Linked DNA regions of Mus musculus. The main gene of each other region encodes a partner of the protein of the gene in region 2 in a complex. Links are inferred from orthologs where the notes say so. Each region holds a gene or a part of one and is shown on either strand. Other genes may lie near its edges.

Region 1 (5,953 bases), on a different chromosome or scaffold from region 2:
AATCATCTGTAATAGGATCTGATACCCTCTTCTGGTGTGTCTGAAGACAGCTACAGTGTACTTATACACATAAAATCTTAAAATTAAAAAAAGGGGTGGGGGGGAGCCGGACGTGGTGGCGCACGCCTTTAATCCCAGCACTTTCGAGGCAGAGACAGGCGAATTTCTGAGTTCGGCTACACAAAGAAACCGTCTCTTGAAAAAACGGAAAAAAAAAAAAGGGTGGGGTGGGGTGGGAGTACACACCTGTAATCACAGCATTTAGAGGCTGACACAGGAAGACTGAGATTGAAGCCAGAAGCAGACCGGGCTGCATAATAAAACCTCACCTCAAGATACAAGCAACTTGCTGAGCATGGTGGCACACATCTGAATCCCAGCACTTGAGAGGCAGAAGCAGGTGGATCTCCGTGAGTTTGAGGACAAACTGGTCTACAGAGTGAGATCCTGTACTTAAGAACAAAACAAAAAACCCCAACCCCACAAATAGAAAGACCCACTGCATTAAATTCCCTCTACTTTTGGATGACTCTTTACTCTCAAGTAAAGACACTGCGTTGCACAAATTTGTTTTAATAAGATATATACATATACACACATACACAGTCACAAACCAGCGTGACAAGTCCCCTTCTTCAGCCAGGAGAGCTCTACTACACGCAGGGGTCCTGGAGATGCTCAAGGGCCTAAGTATGACAGGTTTCACATGTGACATCCATTAGGGACACTTTAATCAGGCAAGTGGCAAGGTACACCTCAGGTGTAGACAGCCTGGGGCGTCATGCAGGCCCCGAGCTCTGCTGTACCCTCTTCATCAGCTCCTCATCCTGCATTGACAGCTCTGTCAACTTTTTGCCCATCCTCTCATGGATGTCCAAGTACTTGGATACACATCGGTCCAGACACACAGACTCGCCTTTGGACAGCTCTGCCTCCTTGTAGTGGGGAGGCACGCACTTCCGGTGGCAGGCACTGGTCATTCTGGGATTAGAGAAGAACAAGGTTGTATCAGTGACTTCCTGGAGCATCCCAGGCACCTTCAACAAGCCCAACCCTGCTGCATTGATTCTTGCCTCGTTCCCTCCGTCAAGAAAACAGCGGGAACCCCCAGTTTTCACTTCAACCACCTTGGAACGCTTTTCCAACTAAGACTCTTCTTTGAGTCATGTACAAGACTAGTTAAAGAGGAAGCACTTGCTGAACACCGGCTGTGTGCCAGGCGTCACGCTAAGGGCTAATACAGGTTCTGTCATGCAACCCTCACAGTAACCCACTGGGGCAGGCACAATCACTATCCCCACTTTACAGACGAGGAAATTAAGACACAGCTCAGTAAGAGCTGAGGGTCACACAAAGCTAGGTAGTCTGACTGCGCAGTCTGTATTTTAAAAACCATTCCAATTTGTAGTCTCCAAGACAAACCTACCGAGAGCTGCTGTCGAAAACCAGCAGATACCTGCTGGTTCCTGTATGATGTGCTAATGCTAGAGGCTTTCAGTTTAATATTGCAATGTCTTTATGGAGGGAGCAGTGCTTCTTAGGTCAGTTTTACTGATGAGTAACCAGTTATGACATTCAGCCTAAAGACACTCAGCTGCTGATGGTGCAGCAAGATGTTTCCAAACGGCTACAAGCAGTAGTTTGAAGTCAGGCTGAAGTTCTGGTCCTGACATTGCTACTGACCAGCTACAGCCCCTGAGATTATTAAACCCCTTGACACCTCAATTCCCCTGTGTTAAAATAGTACTAATAAAATTAACCCACTGATTTTCTTTCTTTCTTCCCTTTCTTTCTTTTGAGACTGGTCTCATCTATCCCAGGCTGGTTTTGAACCCACTATATAGCCAAGAATGATCCTGAACTATTTAGTCTCTGGCCTCTAACTGCTGAAATTATAGGCACCATGTCAAGATCAAACCAAGGGCATCCTGCATTCTAGACAAAAATCCTACGTTATTATATCCCCTTCTCCCTTTGAATTATTTTTAACTATTTACAAAACTGATAATGGGGGCCTGGAAAGTGGTTAAGAGAACTGACTGCTCTTGCAGAGGACCTAGGTTAGGTTCCCAGCACCCACACGGTAGCCCACAACTATCTTTGACTCCAGTTCCTGGAGATATGATGCCCTCTACTGGCCTCTGCGGGCATGCAAGCAAAACATCCATACACAGAAAACAAGTAAACAAACAAATAAATAAATTTAAAGTGATAATATATATAAAATGCTTTGCAAATGCCTAACACAGAGTTAAAGTATAATTTAGGCCGAGTGTGCACACCTTTAATCCCAGCACCCAAGAGAATGAGACAGGTGGATCTCTGAGAGTGAGGCCAGCCTGGTCTATACAGATTAAGCTGACAACCAAGGCAACACAGAGAAGCCCCATCGTGAAAAACAAGAACAAAACAACATCCACTCCATCCCCCCCAAAAAGGAAGAAAAACATTAATAAATATTAGCAACTAAATACTATTCATTACTAAATGGCTGTTCAGAAGGCTTAGGCGGCAAAGGCACTTGCTGCCAAACCAGAAGATTTGAGTTCAATCCAAGATGAGATCCTATTAAGCTGCCCTCTGACCTCCACATGTGTGGCGCTATGGCATGCATGTTGGCATTCATAAACAAACACAAAATACATAAACTACATAAACAAGGGTAAATGGGCTATCTAAGGAGAAAGAAAGATGGAAACGAGGAGAGAAGAGAAGAGAAGAGAAGAGAAGAGAAGAGAAGAGAAGAGAAGAGAAGAGAAGAGAAGAGAAGAGAAGAGAAGAGAAAGTGCTTATATGTTCTTGATACTCAGCAGAGCCTGGGCAGGAGATTCTCCATCATACACCCCTTTTATTCCCTCCAAATAGCCAACCAAGTCCTTCCAGTGACCTGTATTTACTTCAGCGAAGCACGCGGTGAGGGTGGGGCGGGATTAGGAGGGCGGGACTTGGCTCCACTACCTTATCGAAAGCATTCGTTACAAGTGCTTCACTCTGTCGGGCTAGGGGTGACTAGGGCGAGTTTTCCTAGACAAGGTGAAGCCGAGTGCTTCTCTTTACCTGTTGTACATGTCAGCCATCATCTCCACCTCCAGCTCCGCAGCCAGCTGCTGGGCTCTGAGCGGATCCATGTCAACTTAGCACCGTGGAGAGAATAGCCTCCTGGTCTTTAGTCCTAGGAGCGGACATGATCAGTCAGCATCGATCCCTCCCGGTTCACCCTAGTACCACCCCCCCGGGGGGGCTGGAGGGCGCGAGGAATTACAGTGTTTCAGACCAGCGGGGACCAATACCCCGCTCAGTAAACGTAATCAGCCCTCTTAACAGAAGTGGAGATGAGGCCCTTAAAGAGGACAGTGTCCAGCTCAAGGTCACTCGCGATGTCATGGGGCTCGGGGATGGAAACCGAGCCCTCTTAGTACCTCGAGATCACTCCTAGAGCCAGAGGATTGACAGTTGGGACGGAACACACAAAACCGTGGGTCTGAACCCATGCAGCCCCGAGAATGTGACCCTAACCACAGCCTAGGTTCCCGGGGTGGGTCTAAAGGCTGAGCCTCTGTCACGGCAATGGCATAATCAGGAATCAGGGTTACCCTGGGTATCAGACACCACGGCCCACTCACCACGGCCTGGGGCAGGTCACAGCTCCCGCAACGTCCCCAACTTCGGGTCAATAGTAAAAAGTTACCGGGTACCAAGGCAGGCGAAATAAGAAGCACGTGGGTCACTTCCGGAAGGAAGTCTAGCCTCTTCTTTGATCCGGAAGAAAACGCCGACCAGGCTGCGCTGGGAAACCGGCTACCATAGAGAAACCGACCTTAATTTGCTAGAGTGGACTCCAAAGTACCATAGAATGCTGAGTGAGTGGCAGAGCGCCGGCAGCCTTGTTAGCATTCCATCCCTCCGGTTGTCCGGGAGACGCCTGAGCGTTTGCAGTGTGGAAGAAGCTTGGCTCCCTGAACCCACCATGGAGAGCCCACGCCAGAGCGCAGACGGATCTTATGTGAAGAAAGGAGAACGTTTCCCAAAGGAGCCTGTCAATTTTGCATGTTAAAACACCTGGAGCACTTTAAAAAAAAAAAAAAAAAAAAAAAAAAAACACCTCAGCGCCCAGACGTTACCTCATACCCCTGAAATCAGAATCCCGGGGAGCAGTGTGCAACATTAACTAGTGGAGTTGCAGAGAAGATACACGATCGCTGCTCGCAGAAAAAAAGAAACATGTATAGAGATTGTCTTTATTTGCTTTTGAGGCAGGGTCCCATGGAACCTAGGCTGCTCTCTAATTTGCGGTGTAGCCGAAGATGACCTAGAACTTACGAACCTGCCTCCACCTCACTAGTGCTTCGGCTACAGATAAGCGCCATTATGCCTGACTTTTGCAATGTTGGGATGAAAACAGGACCACATGCTTAGGCAAGCACTCTATCAACTGCCCCAGTGCTGCAACATGTTTTACTGCACTTCTTTATTATAGCCCTACACATGCACAATAAATAAAGTAAGTAAATAAATAAATGTAATAATAAAAAGCATTGGGTTTATCCCTTTAAAATTTTATTAGGGCAAATTCACAACACAGAACACAGTCTAATGAACGTCATTGAATCTATCCCCAAGATTTAATAATTCTTACTATTTAGTCACATTTTCTTGATCTATTATCTTTAGCAGATGAAGTCTTTTTCCCAAAGTGCTATTTTCACATTCTCAGCTAATAGTGATGTTTTTTTCATCTCTCTTCCACAGTGCTGAAGGTTGAATCCAGGGTCTCATGCAAACCCTCCACAACTGAACTACACAGGTCATTTGATATACTATTTTTAAATTTAAATTTATTTATAAGAACATGTGTCCTTGGGCTGGAGAGATGGCTCAGTGGCTAAGAGTACTGACTGCTGTTCCAGAGGTCTTGAGTTCAATTCCCAGCAACCACAAGGTGACTCACAACCATCTGTAATGGAATCCAGTGCCTCTTCTGGTGTGTCAGAGCTACAGTGTACTCATAGATACAGAAAATAAATATATTGAAGAAGGAGGAGGAGGAGCCCATGGTAGGATCAAAGGAGGTCAAAGGACAACTGATTCTCGCAGCAACCAGAGTGATGTAAAAAACAAACAAACAAACAAACAAACAAAAAAAAACCCTACAACTGGATCATGTCACTCACCCCCTAGATGCTGCAGTAGTTTCTCATCATGGAGAAAGCCAAAGTCTTCTCAATAGCTTATAAGACCCTGCACTGCTTCTCTCCATGATGTGATCCATCCCCTGAGAAGAGCAAACTATAGGACAAATGGCTTACCTTGGCTTTTGGTTCACTCTATTCCACTGCGTCAAGGAAGGCATTGTGGCAGGAATGGGAGGCAACTGGTCATAGCATGTCCATAGCCAAGACACACAGAAGAATGCTAGTACTCAGCTCACTTTGGCCTCTTTATTCAGTCAGCTAGCCCAGTCCATGGCACATTGCTAGATACATATAGGGTGGGACTTCCTACCTCTGTTAACCCAATATAGAATTATCTCATGGACTTGCCTAGAGGTTTATCTTCTAAGTGGTTCTAGATCCTGTAATTAGATAATCAATGTGAGCCAGGACAAATTCCACATGATTCACCAACCCTATTTTCTTACTTTTACTTCCAACTACTCTCCTGCTGCAGTGCTTTGCCGGGCCATGCTGATACCCTCTCTATCAAATGCATCAAGCATACTCCCTTCTTCCTAGTTACTGTTCTCTGCCGGGGATGCAGGTGCTCCTCGCTGGCACAAGTTTACATCCCAAACTTGAGGTCTTTGTTCCTATATCACTTGCCGTATCTACAAGTATATTCTCCTCCCTACAAAACAAGCAAAAATAAAGACAAAGTCCTATTGCTTGCACCACTTCACCTTATTTTATAGAGCCTGTCACATCTAATGTAGTGCATATTTTACTTGTTGATGAGA
Region 2 (5,380 bases):
TTGGAAGGGGGGGGGGGTGAGGTCAGAAATCTAAACTCCACCCCAACAATGAACTACTCCAGCACCCCCGTTCTCTTAGTCATAGCAAAGACTACACAGTAAGACCTGGGGAAAGGGAAAAGGTCCCCACGGAGAATTTCTGAGGAGAAGCACTTGAATCTTACCTTATATGTGTTGATGCCCCATTTCTTGACGATGTCAAACTTTTCTCCAGCGATGCCCCGGGCCACCTCGTCACCAGGGCCAGAGGGTGACGTGCTGTGAGATGGATGTCGGCCAGACCCTAAAGGACCAAGTTCTCTGACACCAGTTTCTCTTAGATAAAACCATACACTTCTGTGGCTCACTCCTCCCCCCCACCCCCCCAAACACACGAAATGACCTCTCTGAAGAAGGACTATCTAGACAGACAACTGCATTCTTCTGGTCACTAGGGGGAACAAGGACTCATGTCCTGACAACCAAATCAATTCAATGTATGTATCTGGCATTCTTGGAGTAGGGTAGGAGTGTTGTTGGTGTACGAGATAAGCGGGAATAGAAGCAAACATGACATGTGCGATTGGCAGGATCAAAGATGGTGAACACAGAAAAACAGAGAAGTTGGCTTATATTTCTAGGTAGAATTCTAGCCAGTAAAAGAGTCTAAAATGAAACTCTGAGAAGCCTCACAAAGCTCCAAACTGGCCTTAAGCTCCTGAGTGCTCATAACCTTAAGGTCTTAACTTGGCTCAGATGGTGGCGGCAAGGAGGAGAAGACGAGTGAGATTATCTTCGAGACTGACTGGCCAGTGGGAGGCAGATGGGCAACTCTGGGAGCTGGCCTGGGACTGGACTGTCTATGAACTTCACACCAGCAGTTCGCAAGCTCTCCAGTCCAGGAGTCAAGCTTTCCTGTATGTGTCTATGTGCCTGCAAACTGTCTCAACACCCCACCCCTCAAGCCTATCTCTATCATTCATACCTGTGGGGATGAGTCCGTCACCAGAGCCCCCATAGCCACCAGACACAATGCTAGTTTCATTGAGGTTGGGTCCTGACACCATCACCTGCTGGAGGTCCTATAGGTCAGAGAAGAGGGGGGCACCTCAGGAACACAGGGATGGATGAAACATTTTGGGGACGGAGACAGTGCATAGTAAAGTCTGTACAGAACCATAAAGAAGATTTGAAAAGTATGAAGGAGTTTAGTTAACTGAAGGCTACCGGGACAGGGGAAATTAAAGGTTTATAAGTCAGGAATGTATAACAAAACAATGAGAAGAATCAAACAGAAGCACCTGCTCCAGCCCATCGTCTTCAGGAAGCTGCCCAGCTTCGCCATTTCCGTGGATGGGAATCTCCATTGTGGCTGCCTTCCCTAGAATCCCGTCCGTCATGGCTAGGGAAGGGACTGGAGTCAAGGTCTCCACCCCAGCACGCTGTAAAGCCCAACACAGACAATTCTGGAAACTGGCCAGCACTCCAGAACAAGGAGGCCTTCCCTGTGTTCTCAGAGGTTTCAGGGGTTGTCTTTGGGCTTGGGTGTCCTGGGATCAGCCACCACGGCTTTCCTTGAGTTTGTGTGTTTCTTCTCTTCTGAGGACATTATCTCTACAGATGCATGCATACCAAAGCCTCGGGTGTCTTCTCATAACCCCCCTACCTCGCCTTCAGTAACCATTCATGCATTCAGTCATTCAACAACTATCTAGTGAGTGTCTATTATGAGTGAGATACTGAGGCAATGGGATTATAGCAGTGAGGACCAGAGGGGAGGTCTATGCTCTCTGGGAACTTAACCCTGCAGAGGCAATGTTTACCAGAACCCTTTCCTAGGCTCAGACTCTCACTTGCCACTCAGGCATGCTCTACAATCCTGGTCTTTCACATTCTTTGGTGTTCCTTCCCCTCTTCCTTCAGCCGGTCTGGGCTCTTCCTTTCTCCATCTCATGCACCTGACTCCCTTAGGCCCTCCCCAGCAGGCCTTGGTTGAAGCAGTTAGTGAATGTTCCTGGTGTCAGGTGAAAGGCTCTCTTTCCCAGGACACGGGCAATCCCTTCCAAAGTCAGCTGAAGCCTCCCAGATGTGAGGGGCTCCCCCCACCCCCATACACCTGGGCATCAGGTGTGTCCTCATCCTTGCCAAGGGCTCAGGGCATTTTGCCCTCAGTACAGGTTCGTGCGTTCAACTTCCCTTCGTCCAAGTATGTCCTTCTCACCTGGGCCGGGCCGCTCTTCCCCTCAGGGCGCGAGGCCCGGACCGCGCGGGGACCTCGGGTTCCAGTTCTCGTCGCGATCCTAGCAGCAGGTCAGAGATTTGGCGGAAGTGACATGCTCTCTGGGCAGAAGAAGCCGGCCACGTCGCAGAGAAAAAGGGCGGAAGTGACGTTTGCAGTTGTGGGCAGGACGAGCCTGGAGCTACGCCTTCAAGCTCTTGGGGAGTAGTGAGAGTTTACTTCCGGGGCGACTCTGAGAGCTCTAACCTCCCCCCTCCGCCCCCCCAACCCCGCGCCACCCTGCCACCCCGCCACGGGCGGAAGTGACTAGGGCTGTGCGCCCTTGGCGTGATGGAGCAGCAGCAGCAGCAACTGAGAAACGTGAGTGAGAGCGCAGTTGCTCTCTGGGTTAGACGTGCAGTTTGTTTCCAGGGGTACACGCAAGAACCCGAGGGGGAGACGGGCTGTGCATCCCGGGGAGCCTTAGCGGTGGTGAAGTCGTGGTTCCCTTTTCTCTCAGTTGCGAGACTTCCTGTTGGTCTACAATCGGATGACAGAACTGTGTTTCCAGCGCTGTGTGCCCAGCCTGCACCACCGAGCTCTGGACGCTGAGGAGGTGGAGACAGTGTGGGGGTCCCAGAGTTGACAACGTGACGTGACACCCTCCCCCAGCCCCCCATCTTCTCCCTCTTTCTTGACCTCACTCCTAGGCTGGGGACCGGGAAGGAAGGAGGCGGGCTTGACTGGACCCCTTTTAGTTTCTACTTCCCTCCGTCTTCCTTCCAGGAGGCCTGCCTGCACAGCTGTGCTGGGAAACTCATCCATTCTAACCACCGCCTCATGGCCGCTTACGTGCACCTCATGCCCGCCCTGGTCCAGCGCCGCATCGCGGACTACGAGGCTGCCTCGGCCGCGCCAGGTATTCCTGCAGAACAGACCAGAGACTCGCCATCAGGCAGCTAGCCGTCCCTGGCCCCTGGAGAGAAGGTGCTTGGATGGGCTCCTCTATGGACCTTGGGCTTATCTAAATGTGTACAGAGAGATTGAGCTTGAAAGCTGGGTGCTGTTGCTCCTTTTCTTGGAGCCAATAAACCCGTTTTTACAGTCTGGTTATTTGTCTATGGGTACCAGCCTTTATTCTGTCATCTAGTGCATGTGTACTGCCTTTAGCCCTGGAGGTTGATGTAGTGCCTTCTTATGTGTAGAAGGACAAATTCAGCATTCCCAGCACCCCAGCAAAAGCAGGGATTATGGGTAGAGCTTTAAGGTTAGTAATAGCAATGGGAAATTGGTTCCAAAAGGAGAGCTCTCAGTGGCTGTCCTTGGGACTAACTCAAGGACCTGAATATACATTGACTCATAACTAGTTTTTATTTTCAGCTGTCAAAAAGAATTGCTGTGAACCTAGGGGAAGAAGGTAAAACCAAACAACAAAAGCAGGAAGAAAACTCTACCCCCTTAGGCTTTAGCCACTGCTTCCTAGGAGGTCAGTGACAACAGAACAAAGACAAGCCTCTAAGAATTCAGGAATGTTGACCATTTCCCCAATTTACTCTCTTAGTACTTCCTGCCTTTGTGAAATTAGCAATAAAGACTTTAAACAAAGAAGTGCTTTCTTGTCTTCAGAGTCAGTCAGGAAGGCAGCATTGGTCAAACCTCAGGAAGAGAACTCGAGGGAGAGGGAGATGGTGTTAGGGAGGGATGGTTAAATGCCATCTGTGCCCCTCCTCTTCGGGTTTGACTGCTTGTCTAATCTAGTTTCAGCTCTCTACCCTGTGCCTTACACTAGTCTCACTGTAACTGCTCTGATGCCAGCTTCTCTATTCTTGTTTCATTACTCCCCACCCCCTCTTGTGGGATTCACATGTGTATTCAGGAGGAGTCCTTTCCTGGCAGCTGCCGGTTCTGTGACTTCATTCCTAGTGTGGAGATGGGGAAGGAAGGAGGATGTGGCATGTACCACCTTGTGGGGCTTCAAGGATGACAGCCTGCAGGGCAAGCGACAGCATGGGGTCTGCATTTATTACTGTTTTACAGGAGATGGAGCACAAGTACTTGTGCTTGCCAGGCAAGAACTTTTTTTTTTTTTTTTTTTTTAATGTCAGGCTATAAACCATTCTTAGTGCTCAATGGCTTCTGGACACTGAGCATAGAAAGAGCCACTTGCTCTTTGCCCCAATGTCACAGGCAGGGCTGAGCAGCTAGGCCAGGTCTGTGGTGCTGATCTAGGACAGCATCTTCAGGGCAGCAGGCAGGAACTTGTAACAACTAAGCTCCCCACTTCCTCTTCACTGCTTCCCGTAATTCCATCCCATCCCTTCCCTTCCAGTATTGCATCAGGTGACCAGCTTTCTTTTTTCTTTTTTCTTTTTTTTAAACAGAGGAATTAAATTCCTCGTCAAAACCAACTATTCACAGAGCAGATTTGCAGAGCAGATTTGCTGTCCTACCCCCCACCTATAGGTCAGAAATAGGCATCTATTTATTTATTTATTTATTTATTTATTTATTTAGAGATGTGGTCTCATGTACCCAAGGCTGACCTGGAAATTGTAACTAAAGATGACCTTGAACTCCTGGTCCTTCTGCCTCTACCTCCCAAGTGTTGGCCAGCCAAAAAGTTGAAAATCTTAGTTGATTCCATATTGAGAGGCAGATCTTGCTCCAAGGCTTGTTATACATGCCTGTAATCCTTAACAGGGCAAGAATTGTAAGTTTGGAAGCAGTCTGCACTGTTAGATCAAGACTCTACCAATAAAGTGCAGCTGGAACATTAAGCCTGATATTCTTTGCACTACAGCAGGCTGTTTCTCTAAATCGTGTCTGTTGAGTTATTTTGTATAAATTTATCATACTTACTCCTTTTAATTGTGAAACTAGGAGGTATTATTTTTCACTAGACAGGTAAAGAAGCAAGAAAGCAGACCTTAGGAGAGCCCTGTCTTACACAGTTCTTGGAAAGCAGATTTTGGTGTGTCACTTTCCTTTCTTTTCCTTTCCTTTCCCTTTTCTCTTTTCTTTTCTTTTCTTTTCTTTTCTTTTCTTTTCTTTTTTTCATTTTCCTTTTAGGTGGTTTTGCCGTGGACCCATTGGCCTTCAGCTTGTGATCCTCCTGTCTCAGCCTCCTAGATCCTGGAATTACAGACACAGGCTACAACCTGTTGCTAGATAATTCTTTAGGCA
Region 3 (5,957 bases), on a different chromosome or scaffold from region 2:
GGTCCCGTCTCTGTGCAAGCACCAAAGTGAGATTGCCAGTAACTGCCAGGACAAAGGCCAGGGTAGCACAGATCCAGAAGGGGCCTACAAAGGGAGACATGGAGTTCCAGATAAATTCCTCCTGGGAAAGGTGCCTATGCCCTAAATCAAGTGTGCTAAGACCCTTAGACACCATTTGACTCTCCAGACAAGTGCTGCATCTAGACTTATCCTGTCTTTCTGGAAATATCTTCTAAAATGTCTCAAGCACTTAGCTCTTTCTCTGACAAGACTGTCTATAGGTAGAACAGGCTTGGTGGTTCTCAGAATCTTGTCCAGAGGCCTCCTGCATTCCACCTTTATGTGTCCACTCCCAAGTTGCCCCAGGGCCCTGGATTCACATGCTTGCTTTTTGAACTTTACGTGTATGACCTGAGCCTCTAGAGATACTTGATCTGCTCCTGATAACTGTCCAGCTTTTCCTGTCCACCCATGGCAACTCTGTTGGTGGACTGGGGAGAAAGCCGCCCTGGCCTTTCTCACTTCTTGGTTGTGGGGCATCCTCTAGAACCAAGCGTTCTTCGTCATAGCCTCCAATGTCACGTCTGTGCCTGCCTGCTCTTGTTGGCTTCTATCCTCACTTTCCAGAGCCAGAGGAAATCCCAAAAAGATCTCAGTAAGATCCCTTCTCACCACTCTGGGACCTGTGTACTCACCCCTGCTCATGGCCTTCCTGCTCCTCCGTCTACTGCACTGATCTATGCTGCCATACAGTTCAATTGTTTCCACCATGGGACCTAGAGGCTTTCTGGGTCCTCTTCTAAGCCTCTCACCACCAATGTTAGCATAACTCATTTGCCTACCCTAGTCAGGGACCTTCATGACTTCCCTAACACCCTCTGAGTTAGCCAGACCTACCCACCTTCTGCTTTCCATCTTGGTGCCTCCCTCAACTAAACACGAGTTTTGCTCTTCATGCATGACTGCCCATTTCAGGGCCTGGTACAGTCCCATGTTTAAGTAAATACTACATTGATTCAAACATAAACCCCCATTTACCATATAGGTCGGGACGGTTTCTAAGATGGTGCCGCACAAAGTTGTGGCCAGGATGGGGCAGCAGGGAGCCTTTGATCCTGTCCAAGACCTGGAAAGCAAAGCCCAGGGTCTAGAATGAGAATCCTGGTGTTCTGAGAGGTGTCAGCACATCCTACTGAACAAGCTCGAACATGTCACCACTGTGAAGGTGGATTTCAGGCCTGTCACCTTGCTTTCAGCTTCTTGCAGCCTCTCCTCTCAAAGTAAGGACAGTCCCTAAGTTCTGGATGGTCTTGCAACTACATCTCCAGGATGTACCCTCTCACTGGACCTGGTCTATCATTAGAGGTTGGCTTGACTGGGAAACATTCTGGCTTTAAGTCACACACCTATCCACGCCTACTTTGTAACCTAGCTTTTGCCTTCCAGCCCCACCATACCCATTCAGTCCTCAAGTATAGTGGCTGGACTCCAAGCAACTCCAAGTGCCTTACCTGGGAGGTATCCACATCAAAAAAGCTCTGATAGTAGTCAAATGTCCAGAATCTGGGCTGTGGTTTTTCTTCCTGTAGAAGCTATAAGACAAAAGACTCAGAACTTGCCTGCTCAGCCAGGGTAAGAACAGAGGCAGATCATCGGGGCCTAGGAGACTCACTGATGTCTTGTCATCCTCTTCCTCCCCTACTTCAGCTCCATAGCCAATGCCTGAACCCACAACCACAGCCACGTGCTCTCGGGAGGTCAGCTCATCACTTTGGCTAGTAGTAGCTGCATCTGGGGTCTCTGCCAGAAGATTTGTGGCTTCCTCGAACTCTACGGAGAGGGAATATGGGCATAGGTGTTTGGAATCTGAAAATTCCTTTCATCAACTGGGGCTATGGCTGCCTTACCGCCGTCCCCTAAGGGCTGAGTTTCTTCAGTTTTGATGCATGGATAGGTCTGTCTACTAAGATGGGATTCAATTTAGGTCCTGTGCAGAATTGGACGCTGTGATGTGCCTTTTGAGTTCATGGAAGAAGCAGGAATTGAGTGCAAGATAAACCTGAGGTCTGGGTCCCAGCTGCCTGGGGTTCTAGCTTAGGACTGAGGTAGGAGCTCTGACCACTTCCGGGCTCCACTCACCGTGGAAGGCCAGTTCGTCAGCTGCTGCCATGACTCTTTAGAGGCGTCACCGCATCGCACTCTGTGGACAGAACCGCATCAATCCCACAGCCCTCCCCAAGACTGATGCTTCCGTCTGGACTCCTGCATGGAGCCTAATACACGGAATGGAACTTCAGCTCCAAGCTGGGTCCCTTCAGATGCACCCCACCTTCCTCACCTGAGCCTACCTAAGCTGGCGTGGCTATTGCTCTATGCGCGTGCGCGCCGCTCGACTTCCCTTCAGAGCCCACCCTTCTCCACACAACGGCAACATCCGTTTAGGTCCGTTTCCTATTGTCTTCCTGTGGGAAACTACTTCCTGTATCTTGCGCTTGCGCAGGATCTACTCTCCGGCCTTTTTCATTCCGACACTATGCGTTTCTACTCGGCTGAGGAACCGCAGGGAGACGATGGTGACAGCGGCTCTTAAGAGATTCTGGTCCGGTGGGCACGGTGAAGCGGGAGGAGAGGCCGGTGGTGCCACGACGGTGGCGGTTAAGCCAGGGCTGTGGACGCGACTGAGTGAGTAGTGGCAGAAGGCTGCAGGGTGGGTGGCTCGAGTGGTCGAGTCCTTGTCACCGCAGCTCTTTTTTCCCCTCAGGCACCTGGGCCGGCGCGCTGCTCCGGGACTACGCTGAGGCGTGCGGGGACGCGGCGGCTGCGGCGCGAGCTCGACCGGGCCGCGCGGCCCTGTACGTGGGGCTTCTGGGCGGCGCGGCTGCGTGCTGCGCGCTGGCGCCCAGTGAGGCGGCCTTCGAGGAGGCCTTGCTGGACGCATCGGGGTCACTGTTGCTCTTGGCACCGGCCACGCGCAACCGCCACTCGGAGGCGTTCCTGCAGCGCCTGCTGTGGCTGAGGGGCCGTGGGCGGCTGCGTCACGTGAACCTGGGCTTTTGCTCGCTGGTTTACGAAGCGCCCTTCGACGCCCAGGCCAGCCTCTACCAGGCCCGCTGCCGCTACCTGCAGCCACGCTGGGTGGACTTCCCCGGCCGGATCCTCGACGTGGGTTTCGTTGGCCGCTGGTGGATTCTGCAGAATCGCATGCATGATTGCGACATCAACGACGACGAGTTTCTCCATCTGCCCGCTCATCTCCGCGTCGTCGCGCCTCACCAGCTGCACTCAGAGGCCAATGAGAGGCTGTTCGAGGAGAAGTACAAGCCGATCATACTCACCGACGATCAGGTGGATCAGGCGCTGTGGGAGGAGCAGGTGTTACAGAAGGAGAGAAAGGATCGGCTAGCTTTGAGCGAGGCTGATTCACTGGTTCAGTCCGATGTTTCCAGATGAAACCCAGGATTGCCCCCGGGTCACCAGGCGCAGGCAAACTGTTGGCTGTGGATGGTGCAATTGGTGAGATGGGTAGAGATAAATGGCCCTTATTGTGATTTTATGGGAAGTCCTCACTCTGTCCGGTTAGCCGAAGAAACTTGGGGGCCTTACTGGTCTTAGAGATACAGAAGAGCTGAAGGACTGCTCTTAAACATGCTGAAGCACTTGACCTTACTGTGTTAATTGCCCCCAGATCTACTAGTAAGGAGCCTGTGCTGTGTAGCCTGTTGTAGCTGGGGATGTTCTTCACGGGTAGAGTGTTTGCCTAGCATGCCTGGGTTCCTGCACTGCCAAAACAGAACAGAAATGGGCTTTTAGTCTTGGGGGTTTTGTTTATTTGGTTCGTTTTTGAGAATGTGACTCCCATATGCCCAGTCTGGCCCTGACTCCTGCATTAGCTCTAGTGCACCACAGAGTACCCCGCCCATGCATTAGTCCTGTTCATGAACGGGGCTACAAAGATGTCCTGACTGCCAGTGACTTCCAAGATCCTAAGACCAATCCCCCAGCCCCCCTTTTGGTAGTGTGTATCAGTGAAGTTTTTTGAGGATAATGGTCTGGCCGTGTTGCCAAGGCTACTTGTTTAAAGAGTCCCGACTGTTCCTCCCTTCGGAGAACCTCGACTCAGTTCTCAGCAGCTTGATCTGTAACTCCAGGCCAGCGAATCAATCCAGCCTTCTCTTCTGGATTCCTTGTACACCAGGCAGGCACGTGGTGGTGCACAGACAAAACACCCACGCACATATGTTTAAAGATTCTCCTAAGTCATCCCCCAAGATCGGGACTAAAATCATGTGCCAGCTTGCCTGACCTCAGATCTCTCCTTTTCAGGTGGAGCTGAAATGTATGTGTTTAGGGTTTTTGTTTGTTGTGGATTTTGGTTTGTTTGTTACACTGGCTTCCCCAGAACTGGCTATGAAGAACAATCTGTCCTTAAACTCACAGAGATTTGTCTGCGTCTCAAATTGGATTGTTTTGGTTTGATTTGTTTCTGAGAGTGGTCTCACAGCCCAGACCAGCCTCAAACTCACTGTGTAGCAATGGATGAGTGAGTGATGGCTCCTCTTGCCTGCATTTCCCAAATGAAGTGAAATATTTCTGCCCTGTGGATTGTTATTGTTGGGTACTTGTGCTAGACATTAAATCCAGGGCCTTGTACATATGAGGCAAGCCCTGTACACCAAGTCCTTTTAGGCTCTTTGTTTTGTTTGATAATATCTTTATGTAGTCCCCAAGGACCTTTGACCTAGCTTAACTAGTAACGTTGTATGTTACTATCAGTACAGGAGAGAGGTATAGAGGCCGACAAATTCTACTGTATATATGTATGGCAGCAATTGCAAGCATGGTGGAAGGCTGGAACATGTTCTCATCCCAGAGTGTACATGCAGTCATATGTCCTGTACTGCAGGGACCCCGGAAATGGTTGGATGGAAAGGAACAGGGTGGGGAACATAGGTTGGACCTGGCAAAATTCCAGTAATTACCTTTCAAGCTAAAATATTAGGGAAGCAAAACTTCCCATATCAGGTAGCTTGTAGCTAGTCGGTAAAAGCAGGGGGTGAAGCAGTCACTTTGTGATGGATTTGTTTATGGTGGGGGCTTCAGACAGACAAAGTATGTGCTGCACTGAGCTACCCCCACTCCTAGTGGTGTGATTGTGTGTTTTGCCTCCTTTATTCATTATCAGATGTATTGAAAGTATGGTAGTTGTTTTTGATTGTTTTTTTCAGTAATACTCCGAAGTGGGAGGATTAAAGGCATGTGCCACCGCCTCCTGGGTAAGGTAGTTCTTGAATTCAAGTCTTCTGGCCAGGTGATGATGTTAATTCACATCTTCCCGCACTGGTGAGGTGGCTCAGCAGGGGAAGACATGTTCAGTCAAGGCAACCACCTGAGTCCATCCTATGGAACCCACACAATAGAAAGAGCTAACTCCTCCGATTTGCACTGTGACCTACATGTATACTAAATAAATTAAAATGTAATATGGGTTGCAAAAAAAATCCACATCTGAATTACAAATGTTTTAATTAGTGTGTATTAAAGGATTTTCTTATGTGTGTATGAAATAGTCTTATTCACCCTCCATTACTGTTTCTTGCAATCCACTCCTAGTTCCATGTTTCCTCTCTTCCCAATTAGCACCAACGTGTGTGTGTGTGTGTGAGAGAGAGAGAGAGAGAGAGAGAGAGAGAGAGAGAGAGAGAATATGTCTCAATATGTAATCCTGTAATCTTGGGCTGGCCTAGATCAGACTGGCCCTGAACTAACCTAGAACTATTGTGTGTGGATTTAAACAACCTCATGGAAACCTTTCCAGGGACTGACTATACCACTAAGGAATTTTCTCTCCTTCCTTCTTTCCTTCCCTCTCTCCCTCCGTCCCTCCCTTCCTTCTTTACTTTAGCAACTATTACTGACACACAAATCCCTGAAATGGGGAGGAGCCTTCCAGTCTTGTG

What was found. The genes of interacting proteins can lie anywhere in the genome.
Region 1: the proteins of Timm10b (region 2) and Timm10 are in contact, whole or in part, in a cryo-EM structure (PDB 7CGP), measured with the Homo sapiens proteins. The link is inferred for Mus musculus from reciprocal best matches to the Homo sapiens genes TIMM10B and TIMM10. Residues at the interface, in NP_036324.1 of Homo sapiens: Gln7, Leu11, Leu14, Arg15, Phe17, Leu18, Leu19, Tyr21, Asn22, Arg23, Met24, Thr25, Glu26, Cys28, Phe29, Val33, Pro34, Ser35, Leu36, His37, His38, Arg39, Leu41, Glu46, Leu49, His50, Ala53, Gly54, Ile57, His61; in NP_036588.1 of Homo sapiens: Ala6, Leu9, Leu13, Glu16, Met17, Asp20, Met21, Arg24, Ala28, Lys32, Cys50, Asp52, Arg53, Cys54, Ser56, Lys57, Tyr58, Asp60, Ile61, His62, Glu63, Arg64, Met65, Gly66, Lys68, Leu69, Leu72, Asp76.
Region 3: Timm10b (region 2) and Timm29 share a complex: the UniProt entries of both Homo sapiens proteins name them as parts of the TIM22 complex. The link is inferred for Mus musculus from reciprocal best matches to the Homo sapiens genes TIMM10B and TIMM29.

Annotation. Positions count from the first base shown.
Region 1 is NC_000068.7:84,824,818-84,830,770, reverse strand, and holds Timm10 (mitochondrial import inner membrane translocase subunit Tim10), read right to left. Parts: upstream 3,751-5,953; 5' UTR 3,624-3,750; intron 3,173-3,623; 5' UTR 3,129-3,172; coding exon 3,058-3,128; intron 982-3,057; coding exon 780-981; 3' UTR 558-779; downstream 1-557.
Region 2 is NC_000073.6:105,638,045-105,643,424, forward strand, and holds Timm10b (mitochondrial import inner membrane translocase subunit Tim10 B), read left to right. Parts: upstream 1-2,400; 5' UTR 2,401-2,548; coding exon 2,549-2,578; exon of another isoform or gene 2,579-2,631; intron 2,632-2,717; coding exon 2,718-2,813; coding exon of another isoform or gene 2,814-2,824; intron 2,825-2,983; coding exon 2,984-3,160; coding exon of another isoform or gene 3,161-3,184; 3' UTR 3,185-3,577; coding exon of another isoform or gene 3,578-3,618; 3' UTR 3,619-3,802; downstream 3,803-5,380. Other genes in the region: Arfip2 (arfaptin-2), read right to left, coding at 165-283, 965-1,061, 1,281-1,379. UniProt on the Homo sapiens protein: Component of the TIM22 complex, a complex that mediates the import and insertion of multi-pass transmembrane proteins into the mitochondrial inner membrane.
Region 3 is NC_000075.6:21,590,389-21,596,345, forward strand, and holds Timm29 (mitochondrial import inner membrane translocase subunit Tim29), read left to right. Parts: upstream 1-2,333; 5' UTR 2,334-2,570; coding exon 2,571-2,682; intron 2,683-2,761; coding exon 2,762-3,450; 3' UTR 3,451-5,582; downstream 5,583-5,957. Other genes in the region: protein YIPF2, read right to left, coding at 1-84, 1,039-1,126, 1,512-1,592, 1,673-1,830, 2,140-2,170. UniProt on the Homo sapiens protein: Component of the TIM22 complex, a complex that mediates the import and insertion of multi-pass transmembrane proteins into the mitochondrial inner membrane.